Linked DNA regions of Oryza sativa Japonica Group. Each later gene encodes a partner of the first gene's protein in a complex. Links are inferred from orthologs where the notes say so. Each region holds a gene or a part of one and is shown in the gene's direction. Other genes may lie near its edges.

Region 1 (4,074 bases):
GGATAGAGCAATAATAGGTTAACAAAGTGAAGAGAGGGAGAGAGAGATGTGGATCTAAATCTGGGGGAAGAGGGAGATGAGATGGGGAGGGGACTGACGCGGAACCCTGGTTGTAGAGGTTGAGGGTGACGGCGAGGCGCTCCACGCCTGGACCCGGGCGGGACAGCGCAACCTTCTTCTGTGCTACCACGAACGGCGCATCCTGCCCGGCGGCGGCGGCGAAGGGCACGAGGAGGAGGAGGAGGAGGAAGAGGAGAGATCGCCACTGCTGCGCCATCACCGCTCACGGAGATTGCTTTGCTTCTTCCACCTCACCTCGACCGAGGCTATTGTTACATTACATGTGTGTTCAAGCCCATCCCATCTATTACATGGGCCCCCGTGAATACTATGCCCATCAGCCCATTTTACTACCTCCTGCCTCCTATGCGGCCCCCTCCCCTCTCTACCAAAAAAAAAATAATACCACCTCCTATTCTTATTTTTTAGCATTGTCCATATTTATATATGTGTTAATAGATCTAGACATATATGAATGTGAAGTCTTATAACCTAAAACTCAAGAAAAATATTTACTCAGGTCCTAGTTTTAAAAAATACTCAAAATACATATAAGGTTAACAATTAATTTATTCATCTAAGGGTTTAAAAATATGAATTGTTTATGTAGCTTACTTACCCAACATGAAAGTTTATATATAAATTTCAAGTTTTCACTTTTTTAAAAAAAATATTTTTGAGTTTTTTATGAGAGAGAAATTACTTACGCAAAAGATAATTTACATTAGAAATGAGGTATGTTCTCGAAAAAAGTTACATTAAAAACAGCAAAAAAAAAATTCTTGCAGTATATAATGGATAAATAATTTTTTTTAAAAAAATATAAAAATGTAAAATCTTAAAACTAGTGCATAAACTAGCATTTTTTTTCTTCTGAAACTTATGGTAGGATAAATCAAATATTAACCTTATATGGTGTATTTTAGGTATTTTTGAAAATAGTATAGTCCGATGGTATATTGTATAATAATTGATAACTTACCGATATATTATAGAAAGAGACACTGTAAATAAATAAATTTTAAATAGTTGGATTGGGACAAATAGAGTTGATTTAACAGATGCTTTTGGTCCCAAAAATAAAATATAGTACTTCCCCCAATGAAGAAGGTGTGTGTGATTATTGTATTTCCTGTGCACACATATGCAAAAATGCCATCCATTCATCCCAGTGCAATGCCCTATCTACCTATCCAATCCCAATCCACCTGAGCGAGAGAGAGAGAAAGGGTCTCCTCCTCAACATCAACAATGGCGGTCGCAACCTCCTTCGCCACACTCGTAAGCTCACTCATCCATGGCCTCTGCTCTCCTCTTCTTCCCCACCGAGCTCTCAATCTTATTATCGTCGCTCTTTCTTCTCTTGTGTTTGCACTGCAGGCCATCGCGCGGCCGGCGGCGGAGCGGGCCCTCCTCGCCTCCAAAACCCCCTCGCCGCTCCTCTCCATCCGCACCGGCACCGGCACCGCACGCCTCCCCTCATCGGCCGTCTTTGGAGGTTTCACTCCTGCGCTTTCCGCTGCTCACAGCCGCGCGCGCTTCGTCTCCTCCGCCACCGCTGACCCCAAGGTACTGTGTCCCCGGATCTTCTTCTTTTATCTGCCCTACATATATCTTTCTATTGCCGCACCGCATCCATTCTTGTAATCCTGTCTAGTAGTATATCAGTCAAATTTACTACTCCACCTTACTGGACTATTATTATGCAATCAGCCTCCGCAATACCGGCCCCTGTTTGTTGCCTCTTTGGAGGAAGAGATATTGGGTTAGCACAGATGACCTCGACCTTCCAACACCATTAAATTAAAACTAATACTAGTAATGCCTTTGTATGTCAAATTTTGTTATCAGATTTTTAAATCACCAGGTGAAATTTATGCTACCAAAATTGCAGTTTCAGGCTTATCATCACCAATGCTTTATTATGTATTCACCTGCTCTGATTAATAATTTTAGTTGCCTCGACCATAGGGTTCTGCTACTTACAGGTCTTACCTTGTATGTGCACCGAATGTAAACACGTTATTCATCATCAGTGACTGCCTGCAACATTGTGAGGAAACACGTGTGCCCTTCTGTACTACTGAAAGCTGGGTTTTCCTTTCCCATGTGCACTATGCGCTTTCATGTTTTCCTCCACTAGATGTTAACTTACGATATACTACCTCCTTCCTTTAATATATGACGTTGGTTAGTTCAATTAACATCATACATAAAAGAACAGCGCAAGTATCGATTATTCTTACCCTATGTGGGAGAACTGGATACCACGCTTCAAATTTATTCTTTCAGTTTTGCTAAACTTCTCCCATACATTGCAGGAAGTGGACCTCCAGTCCAAAATCACAAACAAGGTGTACTTTGACATAAGCATCGGAAACCCTGTTGGGAAGAACGTTGGGAGGGTCGTTATTGGCCTATACGGGGATGATGTTCCCCAGACCGCAGAGAACTTCCGTGCTCTTTGCACTGGTACAAAGGGCTTCTTGCTTTTCTTCTCTTCTGTCATCTACTACTTTACAGGATTACCCAGATTTGGTGCATGATACACATACCATTGCCCTTTTCCTTTTCAGGAGAAAAAGGGTTTGGTTACAAGGGGTCCAGTTTCCACCGTGTCATTAAGGACTTCATGATTCAGGGAGGAGACTTTGACAAGGGCAACGTATGTCTTCATTATTTACTTTCTTTATAATCTACTCCTATGTTGCACTTGTTCCTCTGTTTCATCTGACAAACTCTATTGGAAAAAGTCACATAGTGTAACATTACTCACAACACTGAATGAGCTCATGTGTTTGTTTCTATCTATCACCATTGAGCCAACTATTTCTCCAAAAAAAAAAAAGTTTGATTTGTTTTATCAATGTTAGCGCTTTATGCTGTTTTGGATAGAAAGCTGACCTATATATGTGTTTTGGATCATTATACAACTTTGTGTTATGCACTTCAGTGCTTGCCCTATGGTGTTTTAGATCATTATACTGCTTTGCATCATGTACATTATGAGTATGAATTGGTAGTTTGTGATCAGCATAATGTGTATGCAGTGATTATTGACTTCATGGCTAGATTACAAGGAGATTAGCACCAAATCCTTTTTCTTTAAATTGATGGCCTAAATTAAATCATGCAGCTGCCTGGTTTCATGAATTATGAATTTTTGACCTAGCCTACATCAAATCATTCAGCTTTCAACTTCTGCATGTGGATAAAGTAGGTTTCAAAAAATGAATATTTCAGGGTACTGGAGGGAAAAGCATATATGGCCGGACCTTCAAAGACGAGAACTTCAAATGTACGTCTGACAAATGACCTAATCTGATCGTTCTTTCTGCTTCTTATCTTGTGGTTGTGCTGATTATATGTCTTGTAATGTTTGTAGTGGTTCATACTGGACCTGGAGTGGTCAGCATGGCCAATGCTGGGCCAAACACCAATGGCAGCCAGTTCTTCATCTGCACTGTCAAGGTAACACTGTACTGATATGTTCACTGTGTACTAGTGTCGAAACTCACTCAAAATTACATTGCGCTGACTGCTACCTGCGAATGCAGACACCTTGGTTGGATGGGAGGCACGTCGTGTTTGGGCAGGTTATTGAAGGCATGGACATCGTTAAGATGATCGAATCGCAGGAGACTGACAGAGGGGACCGCCCGAAGAAGAAGGTGGTCATCAGTGAGTGTGGGGAGCTTCCAGTGGTCTAATAGGTGCCAGAGGGCTAATCTTCTTCCCCCGGAGACTTTGCTGTTTTTGGTTTCATAGTAAGCTGTGAACTTATCGCATGTTCTCCGCGCAGTCAGAGATCATGCTGAGTTGAGGCCAAGATTTCTAAGTTGAGAAGAATCCTCTATTGTTCGGCTGGAATAAAACGTTCTTACCTGTCGAGGGTCAGGAAATAATGTTGTGGTTCATGAAAGATCAAATGTCTGTCTTTTCGTGCATACGCAGACTAAAGTTACTCCTTTCCCAATACCTTTTGTTGCTGCATACTCTCTCTGTCCTAAAAAA
Region 2 (2,720 bases), on another chromosome or scaffold:
TGGGCTCGTCGTCTACTCCCTCCGTCCCAAAATAACTCAATATAGGATAGGATGTTACATATTCTAAGACAACGAATCTAGATTGAGTTATTTTGTGATTCTCTCCATCCCAAAGAAACCAACCTAAGAGGGGATTTGACCCCTCCCAGTACAACGAATCTGGACACTACATCTCCTCTTAGGTTGGGTTTTTTTTTACGGAGGAAGTATTTCTTACGGATAGTAACTTTAGGGGCCTATTTATGAAAAAAAATAAAAAGGGGCTTAAATGTAAAATTTTCAGTCGAAAAACACGAGGTCCTCATCCGAAATTCCTAATTGGCGACTGGTCGCGTGCCCCCTCACCCCGCGCGGATGGACGCGTGGCGCGCGTAGGAGGGGGAGGGGGCGCGGCGGCCGCGCACAGTGGGAGGCCCGCGTTCTTTTTTTTTCGCCGGTTTTTATGGTTGTTTTCTTCGGTTCTTTGTTTTTTTAAAAAAAAAACATCACATATATAAAGTTTGTATATACAGTATACAAAGTTTATATACATACGTATATAAAGTTTATATATATGCGTATAGTGTATATATAAAATTTATATACGTGATGGTTTTCCTCTATTTTTTTTTATTTTTTAAAATGAACATATATAAAGTTTGTATATATATCATAAACTTTGTTATACGTTATATATAAACTTTTGTATATGCGTATATATTTACATATAAAATATATTTTTTAAATAGTACTAGTAGTATATAATAACAGTAGTAGTGGTGTAGTGGTCCTAGTTACCAGTACTAGTAGTACTAGTACTAGTTCTAGTTAGCTGTGTTTATTCTAGAGTAAAGTTTAGATTTTGGTTGAAATTGAAGATGATGTGACTGAAAAGTTATGTGTGTATGATAGATTGATGTGATAGAAAAGGACTGAAGTTTAGATCCAAACTTTGGATCTAAACACAGCCTTAGTAGTAGTAGTTAGTAGTACTCCAGTTACTACTACTTCCTCCGTTTTACAATGTAAGTCATTCTAGTATTTTTCATATTCATATTGATGTTAACGTGTAATAAATGCTAGAATAATTTATATTATGAAACGGAGGGAGTAGTAGTTTAAAGTAGTACAGTGGTAGTAGTACTAGTAGTACTTTAAGTATATACTGTACTCCGTATAGCAGTACCAGTCGCCCATTAGCCACCCCCGGTCCTCATCCACCTAGGCTTTAAAGGCTTCGTCACTTCCACACATCCTCTGCTCCGCTCTGCTCCACCAATGGCGCCCACCACCCCCGCCTCCTTCCTCCGCCCGCCGCCGCTGCCCCACCACCACCACCCCCGCATCGTCCGCCTGCCCCCTCCCTCGGCGACCTTCCGCGTCGCTGACCTCCTCGGCGGCCGGGGTCTCTGCAACGGCGAGGTCGGCATCCGCAAGGAGCTCGCCTCCGACTCCCCCGCCGCGCCGCCATCCACCACCACTTCTTCCGACGAGCCCGCGGAGTCGCCACCGCCGCCGCCGGCTGCGTCCGGGGTGGACCCGGACGCGTTCGACAAGGAGATGATGGGCCTCACCGGCGGATTCCCCGGCGGCGAGGTCGGCCTCAAGGACTTCGTCGCCAAGAACCCGCCTCCCCCCAAGCCGGCGCACAGGAAAGGTCTCGCCGCCGCCGCCACGGTGGAGCGGCCGAGGGCGCCGGAGCTGCCGCTGTTCCTCCCCGGGATGGTGGTGCTCGTCAAGAACCCCAACAACGCCTACCACATGTACTGCGGCATCGTGCAGCGCGTCACCGACGGCAAGGTCGGGGTGCTGTTCGAGGGGGGGATCTGGGACAGGCTCATCACCTTCGATCTCGACGAGCTCGAGGGGAGGGAGAAGGGCCCGCCCATGGTGAACCCTAAGTCCGTGCTGCTCGAGTCCCTCGCCGCGGAGATGGAGGACGATGTGGCCAAGGAGGAGGAGGGAGAGGAGGCCAAGAAGAAGAAGGAGGAGGAAGGCACCGCCGCCGCGGCTTGACCACCATTGCTGCTTCTGCTTCTTCTTGTATGTATACAGCTATCTATATTTTCTTAGATGATGGAAGTGAAAGGGGTATATATATATATATTATCTATTCGATGAGTAATTTCGAAGTGAGTAAATGTGTTGTTGTTAATTGCTATATGTACAGTTGGAATCTTAGTGTGAATTGGCACTATGAAACAAACGATTCGGAGATAAAAGTTTAGCTTCTTTGTTGAATTGCTATATGTTTGATCAATTTGATCACGTTTGGTCCGGATTGCTAGTGAAATGCCTACAAGGGCACCAGTTGCCATAGTTCATTATGTTGGTAGGATTAATTTTTTTTTTTACAAACTTGAATTATCATCTCTTGCTTCTTGAAGCGAAGAGGCTATGACAGTCAGGTAACCAGGCTTTCATGATTGTAAATTGTACAGAGTATGAATGTTCAAGTGTTCGTTATTCCTGACATGACTTCAAAATCCCGCAGTATTTCGCACAGCAACTATCTATGCATTGTAGTTTACGTTTGCCTGATAGCTGGTTTCCCATGATTTTTGTTTATTTGAAAGAGTATATGAAAAGATAGGGCCTTTACTTCTATATAACCTGCCTTACTCAGGAATAAGTGTAGCAGCAGATTTAAAAGGATGGTAAAGGAAGACAGTGAAGTAACAATAATGATATAGTGTTTTGCAAACAGAGTACAATTTGTATTGATTACCACCATCTATATC
Region 3 (3,014 bases), on another chromosome or scaffold:
TTTGTCTTAACTCGATTTGAGCGAATGGCAGTGCTCAGACATGGCGGTCATGAAGGCGAGGCTACGAGCCATGGACCGGGAGTTCGTCGTGAGGAAAGTGTGGGACGGGGAGACGGTGGTGGACCAGCTCTTCTTCCACGACCCCGACGGCAATATGATCGAGGTCTGCAACTGCGAGAACCTCCCCGTGATACCCCTCATCGTTGCATCGACGCCCGGGCTTCCTGAGCTGCTGCCGCCGGCGATGCAGACCAATGTCCATGGCTAGCTCGAGCTACGTTCTTATGTCTCTCCTTTGTACATAAATACATGATTAAATTTCATTCGTTTGAATTGGTTCATTCGTACGTTAGTTGTAAGTATTCTATTTGCTGCACCATGCATACACGTTAGTTGTAGTAATTGATTGCTGCCAAGATTACATTACTGCCCAATATATATATATATATATATGAACAAGTTGTTTATATATAATAAAGTGTTTTAAGTGTTCCAAGTCTCCGGTGTACGACGTACATGTCTCCCAAGTATTTTACTCTGTTCGTCCCATTTTAAGTGTAGCCATGATTTTCCGCGCCTAATTTTAACGGTCCGTCTTATTTAAAAAAAATTAAAAACATAAGTCACGGGTAAAGTGCTATTCATGTTGTATCATCACATAACAACAACAAAAATACTAATTATAAAAAATTTTCAAATAAGACGGATGATCAAAGTTAGACACGGAAATTTATGGTTGCACTTAAAATAGGACGGATGGAGTAATCCTGAACAGACTTTTCCCGCCTGAGAAAGCTTAAAATCACTACAGAGGCTTTTGCTTTGCCTTTCATGTGAAGCGATCATCACAAAGTGAAAAGGAAAAAAAATTACTCTCGTTATTTTAAAGGCCATGGAGTATGCGTATCCTCTGCTTTTGCTGTGCCGAGGAAAAGTGGGTTACTTCTTTAAGTATGAAATCACCGTCACACCACATGGAGTTATAAAAAAACAGTCACATACAAAGTTTTGTCAGAAATGCAACAGTATTTATCCATACCACACGAGAGCGCGTGCTGCTCAGCTCTGTCATGCAATGCAACAGGCCGTGCCAACGTCCACAGCCCAATACATTTGTGTGGTCAATTGGCCCAGAACATGTACGAGTCGCTGAAACCCAGTGCCAGAAATAGCCCTTATCCACACAAGCCACACACAGCCAGTGGCTCCAAGGCGGCACGGCACGGCAGCTTAGCCGCGCGCGCGCAGGCGCAGCAAACCTAAAAAAACCACCACCACCCACGCAACACAAACACAAGCCAAGCCAAAGCCAAGCGAAACAGCTGCGCGCAGCATGGCAACCACGGCGTCCCCGTTCCTGTCCCCGGCCAAGCTGTCGCTCGAGCGCCGGCTCCCGCGCGCGACGTGGACGGCGCGACGAAGCGTCAGGTTCCCGCCGGTGCGAGCCCAAGATCAGCAGCAGCAGGTGAAAGAGGAGGAGGAGGAGGCGGCGGTGGAAAACCTGCCGCCGCCGCCGCAGGAGGAGGAGCAGAGGCGGGAGCGGAAGACGAGGAGGCAGGGGCCGGCGCAGCCGCTGCCGGTGCAGCCGCTGGCGGAGAGCAAGAACATGAGCCGGGAGTACGGCGGGCAGTGGCTGAGTTGCACGACGCGGCACATCCGCATCTACGCCGCGTACATCAACCCGGAGACCAACGCCTTCGACCAGACGCAGATGGACAAGCTCACCCTCCTCCTCGACCCCACCGACGAGTTCGTCTGGACCGACGAGACGTGCCAGAAGGTCTACGACGAGTTCCAGGACCTCGTCGATCACTACGAGGTATACTACGCACCGTAACTCATAGGCAGAATTGGCAATTGCAAATGCAGGGTAGCAGTAGTGTACACCCATGGTCTCTTTCTCCAGGTGGAAATGTTAGTTGTAAGAGCTTAATTGGTAGTACCTGCTTAACTGACCTGGATTGAATTTACAGGGCGCGGAGCTGTCAGAGTACACGCTTCGTTTGATCGGATCTGATCTTGAGCACTTCATCCGCAAACTGCTATACGATGGGGAGATAAAGTACAACATGATGTCTAGAGTCCTCAATTTCAGCATGGGCAAACCAAGGATCAAATTCAACAGCAGCCAGATCCCAGATGTAAAATAGAATGCGTGTTGTACCCTAAAGAGAAAGCATGTAACTATCAATGATTTTCCCGTTCAAAGATGCCCAATGTATATTTTGCTCTTCCAGAAGAGCCATGAGCTAGGGTATTTCCGAACTCAAATCGGGTTCATACAAAAGCAGAACATTCACAGTCGATAATAATTTTGTCGACTCCAACATGGTTACATAAAGAGAAGCTGAGCAAACTGAGGGTATTACCCTGTCGTGAAGACTAAGGAAGGGTCTAGCACTCTAGTTTCATGGCATTTCCGTTCTATGGTTTTTGCTGAGTATTAGCGGTGTGAAAATGTCGATACTTCAGGTAATCCAATCACATTGAAATAACACCACTGCTTTATTGCTTTATGATGGTGAGATCAGGTAGAACATGGAATCCAGCCCTCAAATTCACAGGCAAAACTCAATGTTAAATTATTTGCAAAGAGGATGTGCGCATATTCCAATAGGGAATTATTTCTCGATCATTGGCAATATATTTATTTATCTCATTCCATATAGATACGAGACAATCTCTGCTGATGACATTACGTCACCCTTAAGAGAGTCATTCCCGCAAATAGATGTTTAATGTTTTGGACTTGAGGGTTTGACCAGCTGCAATGTGTAAATCTCAATCGATCAAAGGAATAACCTCGTGGTCTTTAGAAACATCAACCCATGGCCTGAATTGATCTTCATGTGCATTATTCTGCAAAAGAGTGTCATACAATTCAAAAATTGCCAATTACAAAACTGCATCTCAATCTTTTTTTAGAAAAATGCCATCGCTGCATTAAGTACTAATGTCATCATGCTACTTAGGTAGTTGTGTTGTACTAAACTGCAGAGTACAATTCCACGCAG
Region 4 (3,382 bases), on another chromosome or scaffold:
ATATTAGATGAAAAATATGCTCAACTTGTCAGACTTCTCGGTGCGGTACGTGCGCTCGCCCAGCGAGAGGCACGCGATGAACTTGTCCTTGAACTGCATATCCGCCTGTGGCCACCAACCAAATCAAAACAACGCGTACAAAACCACAGCAGCAGCGTACACAGACGGAATGAATCAAAACCACCGATCCCCAATTCCACCCCCCTCCGCTTCGCAGCCGCAAGCACACACACCCAACCCGGCCCCGTACCTTCACTATCCGGATGCGCGCGATGCCGGCGAACTCGTCGACGGCGATGGCCCTCCCCGTCCCCGACTCGGAGGCGTGGGCGTCGCCACCGGGACGCCCCGCGCGGTCGCGGTGGCGCAGGCGGAGGCGGCGGCGGAACCGCTCGAAGCGAGACGGCAGCGGCGAGGGCGGCGACTCGCCGTCGCCGCCGCCGCCGCCGCATGCATTGTGGCGCGAGGGCGAATGGCCCATCTGTCAGTGAGATGGAGTAGTTGGACTCGACGGCAACGCGCAGGCGCAGCGAGAGACTTGAAAGGCGATGACCTTTTAAACGCGAGGCAGAGTAGGAGGAAGGGTCATCGGGTGGTCCCCACATGTCATACAGATAATAATTAATGGCAGTTTCCACATGGCAGTTGTTATACATCTGGGAAAGGCAAAAGGCCGTACCCAAGCAGGAGTCGCCTGGGTGTTCGTTAGACTGACATGTGGGGCCAGGATATGCTCGGATCATTCACTACCTGGACATGCGGAAGAAGATTCATGATTTTTTTTTGCTTTTTTCCAGCGCAACCGTCGCAAGACAAAATAATGGTACGCGTGGGGCCGGTTTGATCGAATATTTTCGAAGGGTTGCTATGTTTTGCTAAAGTAGAGGTCAAATGGGATGGATCATGGATGGATGGGGACGTTGAAAACGCGGTGGATTCATTTGAGGAGGAAGGATCCTTGGCATCGGTCAATTGTGCATGTTACGACAAGTGCCACAAACCAGCAGAAGCAAAGGTAGAAGATGACCATTGCAAAAAAAAAAAAAAAGGGGGGGGGGGTGTCCTCCTAAGCTTAAGCTAGGCTTTGCATTGCTCTCAACGCTTTTCTCCCTTCCACTTGCCGCTGTTGTTTACTCTTTCCAAGCTAAATAGCGACATAAAACTAAAGCGGAATTCCTCATTTGCTCGCTCATTCGCTGAGGTCGAGCATACAACAATCTAAGACGGTGTCATGATCCATGACCTTGACTCCTCCAATTCTCCTTTATTTTTTCTGTCTATCTCTCTCTCTCTTTTCTTTTGCTAATTCATTCATATAATATAATCATCATATATGGGCCTTACCCAAATGAGGTGAGCTGGGCCTGAAGCTTTGTGACAGTTGGCCCAAAACTGAGAGCGCTAGCTCAGGCCCAGTGGTCACCTTATCTGCCGCGTGCAATTCATGTGGCACATATTTACGTGCACTTCGTCACTTTGCTTTTTGCCATTGCCATTGCCAAAGCTAAGCTTCTCGCCATGGAAGCTCTCCTCTCCTCGCCGCGCGCTCTCTTCTCCGTCACGCCAACCGCGTGCTGGCCGGCGTCAGCCAGGAGGAGGAGACGTGTTGCTTCTCCTGTCAAGGCGGCCGCCGCCGCCGCCGAGCCGGCCGGGGAGGAGAAAAAGCCCGCCACCGGCGGCGCCGCGGCGGCGGCGGGAGACGGCCAGGCGGCTGCGCCGGCGCCGAAGAAGATCCTCAAGAAGAAACCTGTCTACTCGAGTAATGAATACGCTTTGCAACTTTGCATTTCAGCTCTGAGTTCTGAACAAGCATCAAAGCCATTTAGCTTCTTGTTTGTTTTTTTGTTTATACTTGATTAACCAATCCATTTATTTTCATCCAATTGATTTGGTTGATGATGCGCCACAGTGAAGAAGGGCCAGATTGTGCGCGTCGACAAGGAGAAGTACTTGAACAGCATCAACGTAAGCACACTGATCGATGCTACTGCATAGATGCTTCATTCATTTCTACTCTTTGTGCTGTAATTTCAGTCTATGATTTCCTCCCCTGCACATGATTTTTTTTAAAAATTTGTTTCATTGATTCAGTATCTGTCAGTTGGACACCCGCCTTTCTTCAAGGGGCTAGACTACATATACGAGGACCGTGGCGAGGTAATTATTTAGCCCATCTTACTGAACCTGAAGTTAATTTCAGCTAATTAAACCTAGCAGTAAGAACATCTTCGTTCTAGCTACGGTCATAATCTTGTTCGTCATTACCGTGCAGGTTTTGGACATCAGAATCTTTGAAACAGGGGAGTATGCCCTGGTGAGTCACCTGCCACTTCATTTCTTCTGTATATTTTGTAGATTTGGACTTCTGAATCTCATTCATATGTTTGGACAGATCGCTTGGGTTGGAATCCCAACTCCACCGGCATGGCTGCCAACTTACATGCTCATCAAGGTAATTACAGTATCTCTAAGTCCATCACACATGCAGCATTGCCAAAATGCAGAATGTACCATCATTTGACCACTTAATCTTAACACTATTTTTACAGTCGGATAAACTCGACTACGAGAGAATATGATATGCACAGGATCGAAGGTTGCGTTCAAGCTAGCTCAGCAATCGGGTGGGAGATCGGTCCTTGGCCTGCCAGACTAGCGTTTTTTCAGTTGTTTTCTTCCCTGCATTGCAGATTCTTCCCCTATTTCGGTTCTTCCGACGATTAATCTGCAGATGTTTTCAGTCGGTTCGTGATATATGACAATGTGTTGTATATAGATGTCAATATGAGGCGATTTGCTGTTGCCTGTTGCTCCGCATCTAAATTAATTATACTGAACTGAAAAATTTAACAAAAGTTAAGTGATGATATTCAGAGCTATTCAGATTCATTTTTTGAGATGGCTAATTATCGTGCCATCTGATCGTATTCTGTAAGCTTCAAAAAAAAAATGTTAGAGATATACTGATATAGAATAGGCTAACGGATGCACATACCCATGAGAACGTCTCTTTTAAACACGTTCGTAATGCATGAAATAACTAAAAGTTCTACTGAAAGAATACTCATTGTACGTGTAACTGCGGATATCAGAATTTAAACTCTAATGAACATACTTCTTCTGTACGCACAAATCCATCACTAGGCCCCGTTTGAATCCTCTAGGAAGAGAGGATATTTTTTTTTTGATATTCGTGGCACGCTTTTCAAACTGTTAAACGGTGTGTTTCGTGCGAAAACTTTCTATACGAAAGTTGTTCTAAAATATTAGATTAATCTAGTTTTTAAATTTGTAATAATTAAAACTTAATTAATCACATGTTATTACCACCTTGTTTTGTTATGAAGCTCTTTTGGAACGCATGTTATTTTTACGAGTTAAT
Region 5 (2,870 bases), on another chromosome or scaffold:
CTTCTATTGTTGCAAAGTTTCTACTCACGGGGTAGTTAACCATGGTCAAACTTGTTGACGTGTACAAATGGAATCACATGTAGGGATAGATATCGAGTTGACTCGGCTCGGCTCATCAACAAGCTCGAGCTAGCTCGTTAAGCTCACGAGCTAGGGGCAAGAGACATAGCCGGCGAGCATAGGAAGCAGCTCAACCTCGCCTGCACTTCAAGTCTGCAACTAGGGGAGGAGGGGAGGAGCTTGACGGCGGAGAAAACGAGCTCGAGCTTGAGCTCGACGGCGACTACAGAGAGGAGCTCGATGGTGGAGGGGATGAACTCAACCTTCACAGCTCCGCCGACACTTGGACAGTTCACGGTTGGACCACGAGGAGGAGGCGAGCTCGACGGCGGGCACTGGGGGAGAGGCGGAGAGCGGCGGCGGCAGGCGCTCGATGGGGGTTGGCGGCGGCGGCTTGGCGCGGTGGCGATGGCGCTCACACGGCGGCGTGGCGCAGCGCCGATGGCGATGGCCGAGATGCGGATGCCGAGATGCACCGAGCGCCCAAGCCGCTGATGCGATGCGAATGCGATATGTGCGAGACGGTGGTGGACAGGGAGTCAGGGTCTCAGGCTGAGGTGAACTAGGGTTTTTTTTGATGAGTCTATTGGGCCAATGGGCCATAATGTATGTGTGCTGTTAGCTGTGGACCTGACTTGGCCTGGTAACCCCATAGCTCGTTAAGGCTCGCGAGCAGCTCGAGCTGGCTCGTTATCTCTAACGAGCTAAGATGCCAGCTCGGCTCGTTAGGAAATTCAAACGAGACAAGCCAAGTCGAGCCTGTCACGAGCCGAGTGAGCTAACGAACCACAAGCTTTCTGTCCACCCCTAACCACATGTAAATGCCTTGGTTTGCACCAGATTGAGAGGAGGAAGAGAGAAGATTGAGAAGATACACAAAACGAGGTGAGACATTAGCACATGATTAATTGAGTATAAACTATTTTAAACTTAAAAAATTGATTAATATGATTTTTTAAAGCAACTTTCGTATAGAAAATTTTTACAAACACACCGTTTAGTATTCGGGAAGTGTGTGCGTGGAAAACGAAACAAACTAACTCAAAATCACTGAATCACCTCCTGCAGAATAAGAAGATGGTGGAGGCATTATACCAGGTTTAGCGGTTAAGAGAGACGATTCAATCAAGAGCGAGAGAGGAGGGAGGCAAGTTAGACTAATTCCTTCATGCAGCCATTCTGTCGGCCCCTAGGAGAGGCAGCCCCATCAAACCGAGAGAAATATCTATGTGGTGCACTTTTGCAAAGGCGAAGGTTTTCCTCATCCTCTCGTGGCATCGCGCGCTATCCATTCATTCCCTTGCTACACTGACACACATCCTCGATGGCCACTTATCTCCAATCAGCAGGCCTCACCGCCGCCACTGCCAGCACCAGCCGCCTCCTCCGGCCAACACCACGGAGGCTGCTCCTCCTCGTGGCGGCGTGCTCCACTGGCGGACGGAGATCAGCCTGCCTCTCCGTCGGCCTCGCAGCCGCCGCCGCCACCATCTTCCAGCATCATCCCGCCTGCGCCGCCACCGACGACGAGCCGGCAAACAATGGGTGGTGGCTCACCGAGTTCCCTTTGCCGGTGCCAAAGATTGTCAACAGTGAGTAGTAAATTAATTACCATTACACACACAAAATATATAAATATAGTGATTGCAATATATATATATATATATATATATATATATATATATATATATATATATATATATATATATATATATATTGTGTGTGCAGAGGAGCTGAACAATGGCGAGACGGGGAGCCGGACGTTCGTGAGGAACGGCATCTACATAGCCGACATCGGGCCGAGCTACGCGGCGCACGCGTACAGGCTGCGGAGCACGGCGTTCGACCTGCTGGCGCTGGAGGACCTGCTGGGCAACAACGCCGACAGGGCCAACTACGTCACCAAGTACCTCCGCCTCAAGTCCACCTTCATGTACTTCGACTTCGACAAGCTCATCTCCGCCGCCTCCGACGACCAGCGCCCCCCGCTGCTCGACCTCGCCACCCGCCTCTTCGACAGCTTCGAGCGCCTCCAGAAGGCCTGCGGCACCAAGGACGACACCCAGATCGGCTCCTCCTATGCCGACACCAAGATCATCCTCCAGGAGGTCATGGCAAAGATGGCCTAGTGTTTCTGTTGGTGTACTAGCTAGTACTGTATTTCTCTCACTTTACTTGTCATACATACATATATATATATATATATATATATCCTCCTCATCACACACATATTCATATTCACATCTACGCTATGCAATATAACTTCATACTCAGTAAGTACTAAAAAGCAACAGAGCATTTCAATTCCAATTACTTGTCTGTCTTTATCATCCAAACAAAGCCAGCCCAACACAACACAGGGCACTTCTCCAATAAAATACAACCAACCTCACATCTTGTTACTACCACTGCACATTGATGCAGCCACAAATTAGATACTACAGTACTATCTGTAATGTAATGCAATGCGATGCTCGTACAATCAACAAAGCCACATGCCAAATCAGAATATTATACACACCCTCTAAGCAACCAACACACGGAGGGGATGCAAATGATCCATTGCATCCCTCAAACAACACACAAATACAATTAGTCATGGACATTCATTTTGTCCAAGCCAACTCATCCTTGCGCCAAGCTACGCACTTGGGTTTGACGACGAGGGATGCCAATCTCGCACGAGTTCACCCGTGCTGCGAACCGTAGCGAGCAAATTGACTCCCCTGTAGACGACACCTCTGGAGACAGATTCACAAACATAAGTGTCTTCGAGTCTCCTCCAAGGCATGGCTGTGTCCAAGGGGAAC
Region 6 (3,991 bases), on another chromosome or scaffold:
ATTGTGCCAAGATCTATTTATCGTGAGTGCCTTGGTTGATATATTTGTTTTGATTGGGTATTCGTCTTGTCATCTTGTCGGTAATCTGCATTGTGTATATAATAGAGCAGGGACAGGGAGGATTTTTGTTTACTCATCCAGCCAGAATTACTTTAGAATACCTCCATAAAATGCAGTTTTGCTTCCCTGATTCCTTCAGCATTTTCTTATTTATGATGATACTTTATTTGCTGTATTGGTTGTATTGGACAAATTTGGTAAATAAGCTACCTTTGATTCAGGTTTCAACAGAACATGGCAACATATCAAAACCTAATAACTCAATCAATGTATGACAAACAGCTAGATAGTGGGAAAGGCACACTTCTCCATCTCTGTGATGATGTGATTCAGCAGGAAGTAGGTCTCCATATTGTAGTACTTGATTCAGAATAAGCATATCAGAGACTTGTGCTCACAATTATTTTCATCTTTGTGGTTTCTGAATTCTGATGTCCAGGTCAAGGAGATTATAATTTCCTACTATATTTTGATGGAAAATGGAAAGGCGACTATTGAGGTATTGCTTTGGTATTTGAAACAAGCATGTTTTGTTTCTGAAGTTGTGCAAGTATAAAAATTGAGTTGAATATTCTTGGCACTCAATGCTAGGATCTTGACTTACAATGTGAAGAGTTAATCCAAGAAGAGTTTGGCTTGCAATGCAATTTTGAGGTGATGGATGCTGTTCAGAAGTTAGAGAGGCTTGGCATCATTACAAGAGTGAGTTCTTACAGCTTGTTACAGCAGTACCAAATCATAGTGAGATATATATCCCCAAAAAAAACTTAGATAAATTTCAGAATGTATAGAATCTAAAAGAATTTTTAAATGAAATACCATTATGTTGTTACTCGCATTTTCTCTATTTTAATCATGGATAATAAAGCCAGTGATGCTTGCAGGATTCTATTGGAAGAATATGCTGTCTATCTCTGAAGCGTGCCAATGAGATCATTGGCGCTACTACAGAAGAGCTGGTTATGAAGGCCAGACAAAGCTAGTTATCCAATTCTATTTGAACCAGGTAATCCTTTGGTGGACTCTAGGCTTCCATCATTAGATTGTTTCTGGTTTTTTGGATGGGACATTATATTGTTTCTGGAATACTCCAAGAAGTCCTGACACTGATTTCTTTGCAGTTTAGGGGGGCAATAGGTCCTGGACGGCTGCGGAATAATTCTCCGATGGAAGTTGAGCAGATATGCTATTGTTGTTCTGTTGTAGGACCTGCTGTATTATGCAATGTTTAATGCATGTTGTAAGAAATTTAGTTTCTTCTTGGAACAAAATGTGGAAAGATTTCAGTAAAAAAAAATGTGGAAAGAGGTTCATGAACTGCTGCCTTGTTTGTTCAGTTAATGAATACTCCTACAAGAAATGCAGCAGCCTGCTAACTCAAGGCACAAGAGCCAAGTATGACGCATAAAAAGCATACTGAAGCAGTGAAAAAGCGCTGCTGATGGTGCACTGTATCTCAGCCACTGAATCAGTGACGTCCGACACAGTGACACTGGGTTGCTGGTTCTTTTTCTGCTCTTTTCATTTACAAATCATGTCCTCATGTTGCAGTTGTCTTTTCCTTGTCTCTCCTGATGTGTAAAACACAAGGCTCTGTGCTTGCTGTTGCTAACAATTCAGATTCATCAGAATGCAATAATGTAGTACTAACAAATACTAGTTCTATTCATTCACAAGATTATCATGCATATCTGACCTGATTACTGACTGACTAATGAGGTGATGCAGATTTCTTTCCAGGCATGAAGAAAAAGAAAGAAAAGAGGAAAAAAGCAGCGAAAAATCCTGGACGGTACATGCCCCATACCCATTATCCTCTTGTTTTTGTCTCCTTGCAGCAAAGTATAAGTGCAGCAGCAGCTACCAGCTAAGCAAGAAGCGAGCAGCAGAGCTCAGCGTTTGGAGCGAGATGATGAGCAGCAGCAGCAGCTTGGTGTCCGCCATTTCTGCGTCACCGTCTGCCACTGCAAAAGCTCGCCTTCGTCATGACGATGCAGCAACAGCAACAGGAGCAGCAGCAGCAGCAGCAGTAGCAGCGAGGCAGCTAAAGACGGAGCATGGCGGCTGCTGCTGCTGCCGGAGCAGAGGCCGGGCGGTGGTGGCGAGGGCGGGGCCCGGGCCACTGACGGAGATCGAGCCCGACCTGAACGAGGACCCCATTGATAAGTGGCGCACCAACGGCGTCAGCCCGGTCTGTCCTCCTCGCCGTCGCCGGCCACCGTGTTGAGAATTTCATTATTTTTCTCTATTCCAAGCAGTTTCCATGGTTTCTTTGATTCTTTCTTCAGTGATTGCTGCTGCTGTGCTGTGTTGTCTGAAGAAATGGTTTTGACACTGAAAAGAATCTGCTTTGCAGGACGACTTCGAGTATGGAGTGTATGATGGTCACCACACATATAATGAAACCCAAGGTTCTTTTTCTGGGCTATCTTATCCAGTTATCCATTCCTTGAATCAAAATGCGTAATCATGCTCATGTGTGCTAATTTCTGATTCTTATGTGATATGATGTGGAAAAAAAAATCATTTGACACTGAAGATAAGAAGGGCTTTTGGGAGGATGTCTCTGAGTGGTACCAAGAAGCTGAACCTCCTCAGGGCTTCCAAGGTAGTAACAGCCAAATTCCTTTCTCACTTGGATAAATCAGAGAAAAATCAGATTCTTTCAGATAAATCAGAGAAAAAAAATCAGATCTTTCTTCTCTTAAGACAAGCTTGCTCAATTTGCACTGATGGGCCATCTCTTGCAGCACTGATCTCCTGGTTGTTTCCTCCTGCAATCATCCTTGGCATGGCCTTCAATGTTCCGGTAACATATTGAGCAGTAGTTCCAGCCTACTGACATGTATCACATTTCACAATCTGTCTTGGCTCTTGAGCTCTCTGAATATGTGTCTACTTCTGCCACTAGGGGGAGTACCTCTACATCGGCGCAGCAGTGTTCGTCGTCGTGTTCTGCGTTATCGAGATGGACAAACCGGACAAGCCACACAACTTTGAGCCGGAGATCTACATGATGGAGAGATCGGCTCGCGACAAGCTCATCGCCGACTACAACACCATGGACATCTGGGACTTCAACGAGAAGTACGGCGAGCTCTGGGACTTCACCGTCGACAGAAGAGATGAGATTGTGAAATCGTCTTAGATATGGTATTCAGAAATGGGGGGTCACATTTGTTAGATGCAGCTGCAGAAACAGTTCAGAAAATCAGAACCACTCCAAAGAAAAGCAGGGTGGCAAAGCTGCAAGATGAGTCTCTTCAAAATAAAGAACTTTGAGATGAAATGATGTGTGTATGGATCATCTCATCTACTGTAAGGCCTGCTTTCTATGTCTCTGACAGTCTCAACTCTGAAGTTCTCAGCCAGGTACAAAAGGAGACTGAAAATTCTGTCATGTGTATTTTGTTTTCCCCCCAATGTAATGGAGAAAATCCTGTGAATGACATCACTAATTCAATAGATATATATAGTAGTATAATGGAATAACTTTGGCATCAGCCTCCAATATTATCAATATGTAAAAGAAAAGGAAATATCATTCTTTTCTTGTACAGGAAAAGGAATAAAGGGAACCTCACAGCTGTTCCTTTTTTGTACACTTGAGTTACAGCTGAATCACTATGAAGACCAAAGAAAAGAGAGAGAGAAATAATAAATGGAAAGGGAATTGCTAGTCTATAACTCTGATGATGAGAGGAAACTAGCTAGTTCTTCTTCAACCTGATGTTGTGAAGAGCTGACTACCTAGAGTCACAGTTGGTGTGCTTTCTGGCATGATTGTGGTCATCCTCATCTCTTGCTCGCGAATTCGGTTTATCTCCGCCTCCACCAAGTTCATCGATGGGCGATGCTCGCTCGTCGGGTTCACGCACCACGATGTCAACCGCAGAAATTCTCTCATGCCTTCTGAGGTATAGGCACTGGC
Region 7 (3,786 bases), on another chromosome or scaffold:
GGAGGAGGGGCGCGGCTCCGTCCCTTGGCGGCTTGCGCGCGGAGTGGCGGGGGCCGGGCGATGACGACGACGATGACGGGGGGACGGCTTGGAGCGGAGCGGCGACATTGGCGACAGGCGCGTGCAGAGGCTGACGGCGGCGGCGACCGGGCGGTCGACCACTCGGCACGCGCGCGCGGCTTGCAACGGGCGGCGTCCGCGCGGGCGCGCGCACGCGAACACAGCGCGCGGGAAGCGGCAGCGAGGGAGCGGTGAGGGAGGACTTGGCTCGGCGCGGGCGGCTTACGCGTGCTGGCTCGCGGGGCCGAGCGGAGGGGCGCAGGGCGCGGCTCTCGCGCTCGCGCGTGGCGCGCGAGGGAGGGGCGCTCGGCGCGGCGACGCGCGCTCGCGCGCGCGGCGCGGGGCGGAGCGGAGGGAGAGAGGGAGAGAGCGGGGGCGCGCCGGGGAAAGCGAGAGAGAGAGCCGGGAGAGAGAGGGGAAGATGGGCCGAGGGAAAATCGGCCCATCGACCCTGGGGGAGGCAAAATGGACTTTTGCGGAGGAATTTGATTTGGAGGGATTGGATTCGGAATTGAACTCGACGATAGATCGGGGATTGAGATCTTGAGATGGCACGGATACTAGACAACAAGCAAAGAAACAAATTTCGCAATTAGGGTTTTTAAGAGATAATTTCCCCGCTAGGCGCCACGACGGAACGGGCGCTACAGCAGGTCTGGCGAGGGGGGCGGGGAGGCCGGCGAGCTCGCCCTCATCCCACCTCCAACCCCTCCCCGCCTCCTCCCTCTTCGTATGCACTCGCTGCCGGCCTCCCCGCCTCCTCCCTCTTAGCATACGCTCGCTGCGGGAGCTGTGGGGGATGGCGGCGTTCTGGCTGCAGGCCAACCCCATCCTCGTCGGTGCCGCACCAAGTTGCCACATCGCCACCCGTCGCCAGCTGCCCTACCAGCCTCCTCCGCAATCCGCACCCGCTGGCCGCCCTGAGAAGAGAGAGAGGGAGGGAGAGGAGGGGAAAATGGGAAATAAGAGAGAGGTGATGATATGGCATCTTACATGTGGGACCCACGCGCTGACTCAGCCGTCACGTCAAATAAAACCGGGGTCAAAACCACCGAAGGATCTAAAGTGAACGGTTTTGTTAGTTGAGGAACGCCTGATATCTGGTTTTGCGGTTGGGAAACGATTTTGTAACTCGATGACAAGTTGAGGGACCTTCGGTGTACTTTTTCCTGGAATCATCTGTCGTTCCACGGGCCACGGCCGCCGTTTGGCGACGAGACACGCGGCTTGGCCCGCAAAAAAAACGAGGATTCCTTCCTCGGTCCTCGGGTGTTGAGTTGGGAAAGCCCATGGCCCGTGACGACGTACGCGGGCGTTTATAACGACGCGACAGAGAGGTGCCCGCGTTGCAGCAGCCACAGTTTGGGGATAATCCGATTCTCTACTCCCCAAGTGACTCACTCACCGATGGCGCCTCCTCCTATCTCCTCCTCCCTCTCGCTCATGGCCTCCAACCCAATCCCGTCGCCTCCGGTCGCCAAACCGGGCAGGCCGCTCACCGTCGCGGCGTGCAGCAACAGCAGCAGCAGCTCCTCCTCCTCCTCCCCGTCGTCGACCTCGTGCTCGGCTGCCTGGAGTCTCCCGGTGGCGACGTCGGCCGGCAGGAGGGGGCTGCTCGCGCTGGGCGCGGGGTTCCTGGCTTCCCCTGGGCTTCTGTGCCCCGCCGGCGACGCCGGAGCGACGCGCATCGAGTACTACGCGACGGTGGGGGACAAGCTGTGCGACATGAACGTCGTCAAGTCGGGGCTCGGCTACTGCGACGTCGAAGTCGGCACCGGCGCCCAGCCCCCGCGCGGCCAGCTCATAAATGTCAGTTCCGACAGAAGAGTTTCTCGCACTTTCTCTAGAAGAACCTGTGTTTTCTGAATATGATTAACTCCTGTATGGAGTAATTAAGCATTGGCAGATCATAAATTTGCCCAATTTGCATCAGTACCGATCCTTTAGTTAGTTCGACAACGAATAAACCTGCCATTTTTTTCTCGCCATGACACTGATAGGAGTTTCAAGTGTGTTAATTGGAGTTGTGTTCATGGTTGTAAGGTACACTACACTGCAAGATTTACTGACGGGATAGTGTTCGACAGCACCTACAAGCGAGGACGGCCACTGACAATGCGCCTTGGCGCAGGCAAGGTGCGCAGCTTTTGTTCATTGCACGTACATCTTCGATCGTAGCAAGCATCTTATGTAGTTATGCAAGGAATCTTATTGTTTGGTTCGTTCGCATTTTCATTCTCAGATCCTCCGAGGGCTTGAACAGGGAATCAGTGGTGGCGGTGGTGTGCCACCCATGCTCGTTGGTACTGTCAGAAATCCAGAAATAATAAGCATATGCATCTCTTTGTGTGTCAAATGCTAAAAATATAGTACTGCTTTTATTTTTCTTAATCACATCGTGTCTCTGTTGAAAATCGCAATAACATTACAGGTGGAAAGCGCAAGCTTATGATACCTGCAACTTTGGCATACGGACCTGAACCAGCAGGTTGCTTCTCAGGTAATAACGAAAGAAAAAAAAAAGTAATCAAACAAGTAATCTTAATTTAATTCTAGAAATTTGAGACCAGATTAAGTTTCATGTATTTAACGATGTTTCAGTGCTATCTGTCTGGCTCCCTTATTAGCATTCGCTAGAAAAAATATACAAATTTACAGAAGATTTACTTATTTAACAGGAGACTGTAATATTCCCGGCAACACCACACTCCTATACGACATCTTCCTGGTTGGATTTTACAAGTGAGCATATGATGAAAAGGAATATGCATGACTTGAACAGACTAGGTGCAAACAAGGTATGGTGGTGGTATTCTGAACCTGTCTGATTTTTTTTTCATCTGAAAACAGTATCCCTTGCCTAAAGGGGTTGTTGTTTGTTACATAAGCATGTTACATTCTCTGGCAGATTTTCGAGTAAATTTTGGCGTTTCATACAAGAGGCGGGACTACGGACAGATGAAGAGAAAGGGTGCGACATGCCTAAGCCCAGACGCCGAAAGCAAATGCGTCACCGGAGCTCCTTGGGTCTCCAATACGCAGAGTACTACATTTGCAATCTGTACCAAGAAGTGAAAGGATATATAACAAACCGGTCCTCTGATATACTATCAAATTGGTCTTATGTTTTCTAGAGAAGAAAAGTCTTGTGTTTGTGTAAGTATAACGTTGTAAAGACATGTCTCATTATTCATACTGTCATTGGTACAGCCAAACACAACAAAAATTCCCATCCTTTGTGGCAAGTCCTAACTAAATGAAGTTGAACTCTGACTGAATATCGATTGACTGGTGACTTCCAAACCTTCAACAGTTCAAGCAAGCTAATCGACTGTATCAATACTAATGTACTCAAAAAAATGTCGAAAGTTCGTGTCAAAGCACATGTGCAGTAGTAGCTTTGAGCCTTTGACTGCTGTCTGCACTGCAGTATTGCCACAAGATAATTTAATCATAGGTTTGTTAACCATCAAATCGAAACATGCATTGTTCAGACTTCAGAGAATATCCTAAAATCCTTTTATGAAACCAAAGAACACCCAAATCGTGAGAGTTGAACTATCGATTGACCGGTTCAGAGCCAGAACTGGTAGGTGAATGAGGGAAGAAAAGGAGAGCTGCCATTTCCGTGGCAGGAAGACTCAAGAATTCCAAAAGCTTCTTGTCGGTTTAAAACGAAAACCTTTTTCGTCAGATGCTCTGAATGCTGCTCGGTGTCATGAAATT

Evidence for each region.
Region 2: photosynthetic NDH subunit of lumenal location 5, chloroplastic (region 1) and NAD(P)H-quinone oxidoreductase subunit S, chloroplastic share a complex: the UniProt entries of both Arabidopsis thaliana proteins name them as parts of the chloroplast NDH complex. The link is inferred for Oryza sativa Japonica Group from reciprocal best matches to the Arabidopsis thaliana genes Pnsl5 and NdhS.
Region 3: photosynthetic NDH subunit of lumenal location 5, chloroplastic (region 1) and nAD(P)H-quinone oxidoreductase subunit M, chloroplastic share a complex: the UniProt entries of both Arabidopsis thaliana proteins name them as parts of the chloroplast NDH complex. The link is inferred for Oryza sativa Japonica Group from reciprocal best matches to the Arabidopsis thaliana genes Pnsl5 and NdhM.
Region 4: photosynthetic NDH subunit of lumenal location 5, chloroplastic (region 1) and NAD(P)H-quinone oxidoreductase subunit O, chloroplastic share a complex: the UniProt entries of both Arabidopsis thaliana proteins name them as parts of the chloroplast NDH complex. The link is inferred for Oryza sativa Japonica Group from reciprocal best matches to the Arabidopsis thaliana genes Pnsl5 and NdhO.
Region 5: photosynthetic NDH subunit of lumenal location 5, chloroplastic (region 1) and photosynthetic NDH subunit of lumenal location 3, chloroplastic share a complex: the UniProt entries of both Arabidopsis thaliana proteins name them as parts of the chloroplast NDH complex. The link is inferred for Oryza sativa Japonica Group from reciprocal best matches to the Arabidopsis thaliana genes Pnsl5 and PnsL3.
Region 6: photosynthetic NDH subunit of lumenal location 5, chloroplastic (region 1) and photosynthetic NDH subunit of subcomplex B 5, chloroplastic share a complex: the UniProt entries of both Arabidopsis thaliana proteins name them as parts of the chloroplast NDH complex. The link is inferred for Oryza sativa Japonica Group from reciprocal best matches to the Arabidopsis thaliana genes Pnsl5 and PnsB5.
Region 7: photosynthetic NDH subunit of lumenal location 5, chloroplastic (region 1) and photosynthetic NDH subunit of lumenal location 4, chloroplastic share a complex: the UniProt entries of both Arabidopsis thaliana proteins name them as parts of the chloroplast NDH complex. The link is inferred for Oryza sativa Japonica Group from reciprocal best matches to the Arabidopsis thaliana genes Pnsl5 and PnsL4.

Annotation. Positions count from the first base shown.
Region 1 is NC_089039.1:192,252-196,325, forward strand, and holds photosynthetic NDH subunit of lumenal location 5, chloroplastic, read left to right. Parts: upstream 1-1,274; 5' UTR 1,275-1,311; coding exon 1,312-1,341; intron 1,342-1,440; coding exon 1,441-1,629; intron 1,630-2,381; coding exon 2,382-2,532; intron 2,533-2,636; coding exon 2,637-2,725; intron 2,726-3,303; coding exon 3,304-3,358; intron 3,359-3,445; coding exon 3,446-3,531; intron 3,532-3,617; coding exon 3,618-3,770; 3' UTR 3,771-4,007; downstream 4,008-4,074. Other genes in the region: uncharacterized protein, read right to left, coding at 99-277. UniProt on the Arabidopsis thaliana protein: NDH shuttles electrons from NAD(P)H:plastoquinone, via FMN and iron-sulfur (Fe-S) centers, to quinones in the photosynthetic chain and possibly in a chloroplast respiratory chain.
Region 2 is NC_089041.1:5,276,820-5,279,539, reverse strand, and holds NAD(P)H-quinone oxidoreductase subunit S, chloroplastic, read left to right. Parts: upstream 1-1,166; 5' UTR 1,167-1,257; coding exon 1,258-1,995; 3' UTR 1,996-2,220; downstream 2,221-2,720. UniProt on the Arabidopsis thaliana protein: NDH shuttles electrons from NAD(P)H:plastoquinone, via FMN and iron-sulfur (Fe-S) centers, to quinones in the photosynthetic chain and possibly in a chloroplast respiratory chain.
Region 3 is NC_089038.1:27,480,408-27,483,421, forward strand, and holds nAD(P)H-quinone oxidoreductase subunit M, chloroplastic, read left to right. Parts: upstream 1-1,293; 5' UTR 1,294-1,333; coding exon 1,334-1,819; intron 1,820-1,973; coding exon 1,974-2,150; 3' UTR 2,151-2,514; downstream 2,515-3,014. Other genes in the region: uncharacterized LOC4336529, read left to right, coding at 32-268; uncharacterized LOC4336531, read right to left, coding at 2,782-2,859. UniProt on the Arabidopsis thaliana protein: NDH shuttles electrons from NAD(P)H:plastoquinone, via FMN and iron-sulfur (Fe-S) centers, to quinones in the photosynthetic chain and possibly in a chloroplast respiratory chain.
Region 4 is NC_089035.1:42,962,867-42,966,248, forward strand, and holds NAD(P)H-quinone oxidoreductase subunit O, chloroplastic, read left to right. Parts: upstream 1-1,453; 5' UTR 1,454-1,518; coding exon 1,519-1,759; intron 1,760-1,909; coding exon 1,910-1,965; intron 1,966-2,091; coding exon 2,092-2,157; intron 2,158-2,272; coding exon 2,273-2,314; intron 2,315-2,392; coding exon 2,393-2,452; intron 2,453-2,549; coding exon 2,550-2,579; 3' UTR 2,580-2,882; downstream 2,883-3,382. Other genes in the region: phosphatidylserine decarboxylase proenzyme 2, read right to left, coding at 26-105, 251-481. UniProt on the Arabidopsis thaliana protein: NDH shuttles electrons from NAD(P)H:plastoquinone, via FMN and iron-sulfur (Fe-S) centers, to quinones in the photosynthetic chain and possibly in a chloroplast respiratory chain.
Region 5 is NC_089041.1:312,356-315,225, forward strand, and holds photosynthetic NDH subunit of lumenal location 3, chloroplastic, read left to right. Parts: upstream 1-1,310; 5' UTR 1,311-1,384; coding exon 1,385-1,652; intron 1,653-1,788; coding exon 1,789-2,189; 3' UTR 2,190-2,370; downstream 2,371-2,870. Other genes in the region: kinesin-like protein KIN-14N, read right to left, coding at 2,686-2,853. UniProt on the Arabidopsis thaliana protein: NDH shuttles electrons from NAD(P)H:plastoquinone, via FMN and iron-sulfur (Fe-S) centers, to quinones in the photosynthetic chain and possibly in a chloroplast respiratory chain.
Region 6 is NC_089035.1:41,427,245-41,431,235, forward strand, and holds photosynthetic NDH subunit of subcomplex B 5, chloroplastic, read left to right. Parts: upstream 1-1,191; 5' UTR 1,192-1,969; coding exon 1,970-2,251; intron 2,252-2,416; coding exon 2,417-2,471; intron 2,472-2,599; coding exon 2,600-2,668; intron 2,669-2,810; coding exon 2,811-2,869; intron 2,870-2,971; coding exon 2,972-3,208; 3' UTR 3,209-3,552; downstream 3,553-3,991. Other genes in the region: uncharacterized protein, read left to right, coding at 1-22, 282-399, 500-559, 652-762, 945-1,043; serine/threonine-protein kinase-like protein ACR4, read right to left, coding at 3,782-3,991. UniProt on the Arabidopsis thaliana protein: NDH shuttles electrons from NAD(P)H:plastoquinone, via FMN and iron-sulfur (Fe-S) centers, to quinones in the photosynthetic chain and possibly in a chloroplast respiratory chain.
Region 7 is NC_089036.1:32,085,142-32,088,927, forward strand, and holds photosynthetic NDH subunit of lumenal location 4, chloroplastic, read left to right. Parts: upstream 1-1,392; 5' UTR 1,393-1,467; coding exon 1,468-1,869; intron 1,870-2,103; coding exon 2,104-2,196; intron 2,197-2,302; coding exon 2,303-2,363; intron 2,364-2,491; coding exon 2,492-2,560; intron 2,561-2,738; coding exon 2,739-2,806; 3' UTR 2,807-2,858; intron 2,859-2,968; 3' UTR 2,969-3,286; downstream 3,287-3,786. UniProt on the Arabidopsis thaliana protein: NDH shuttles electrons from NAD(P)H:plastoquinone, via FMN and iron-sulfur (Fe-S) centers, to quinones in the photosynthetic chain and possibly in a chloroplast respiratory chain.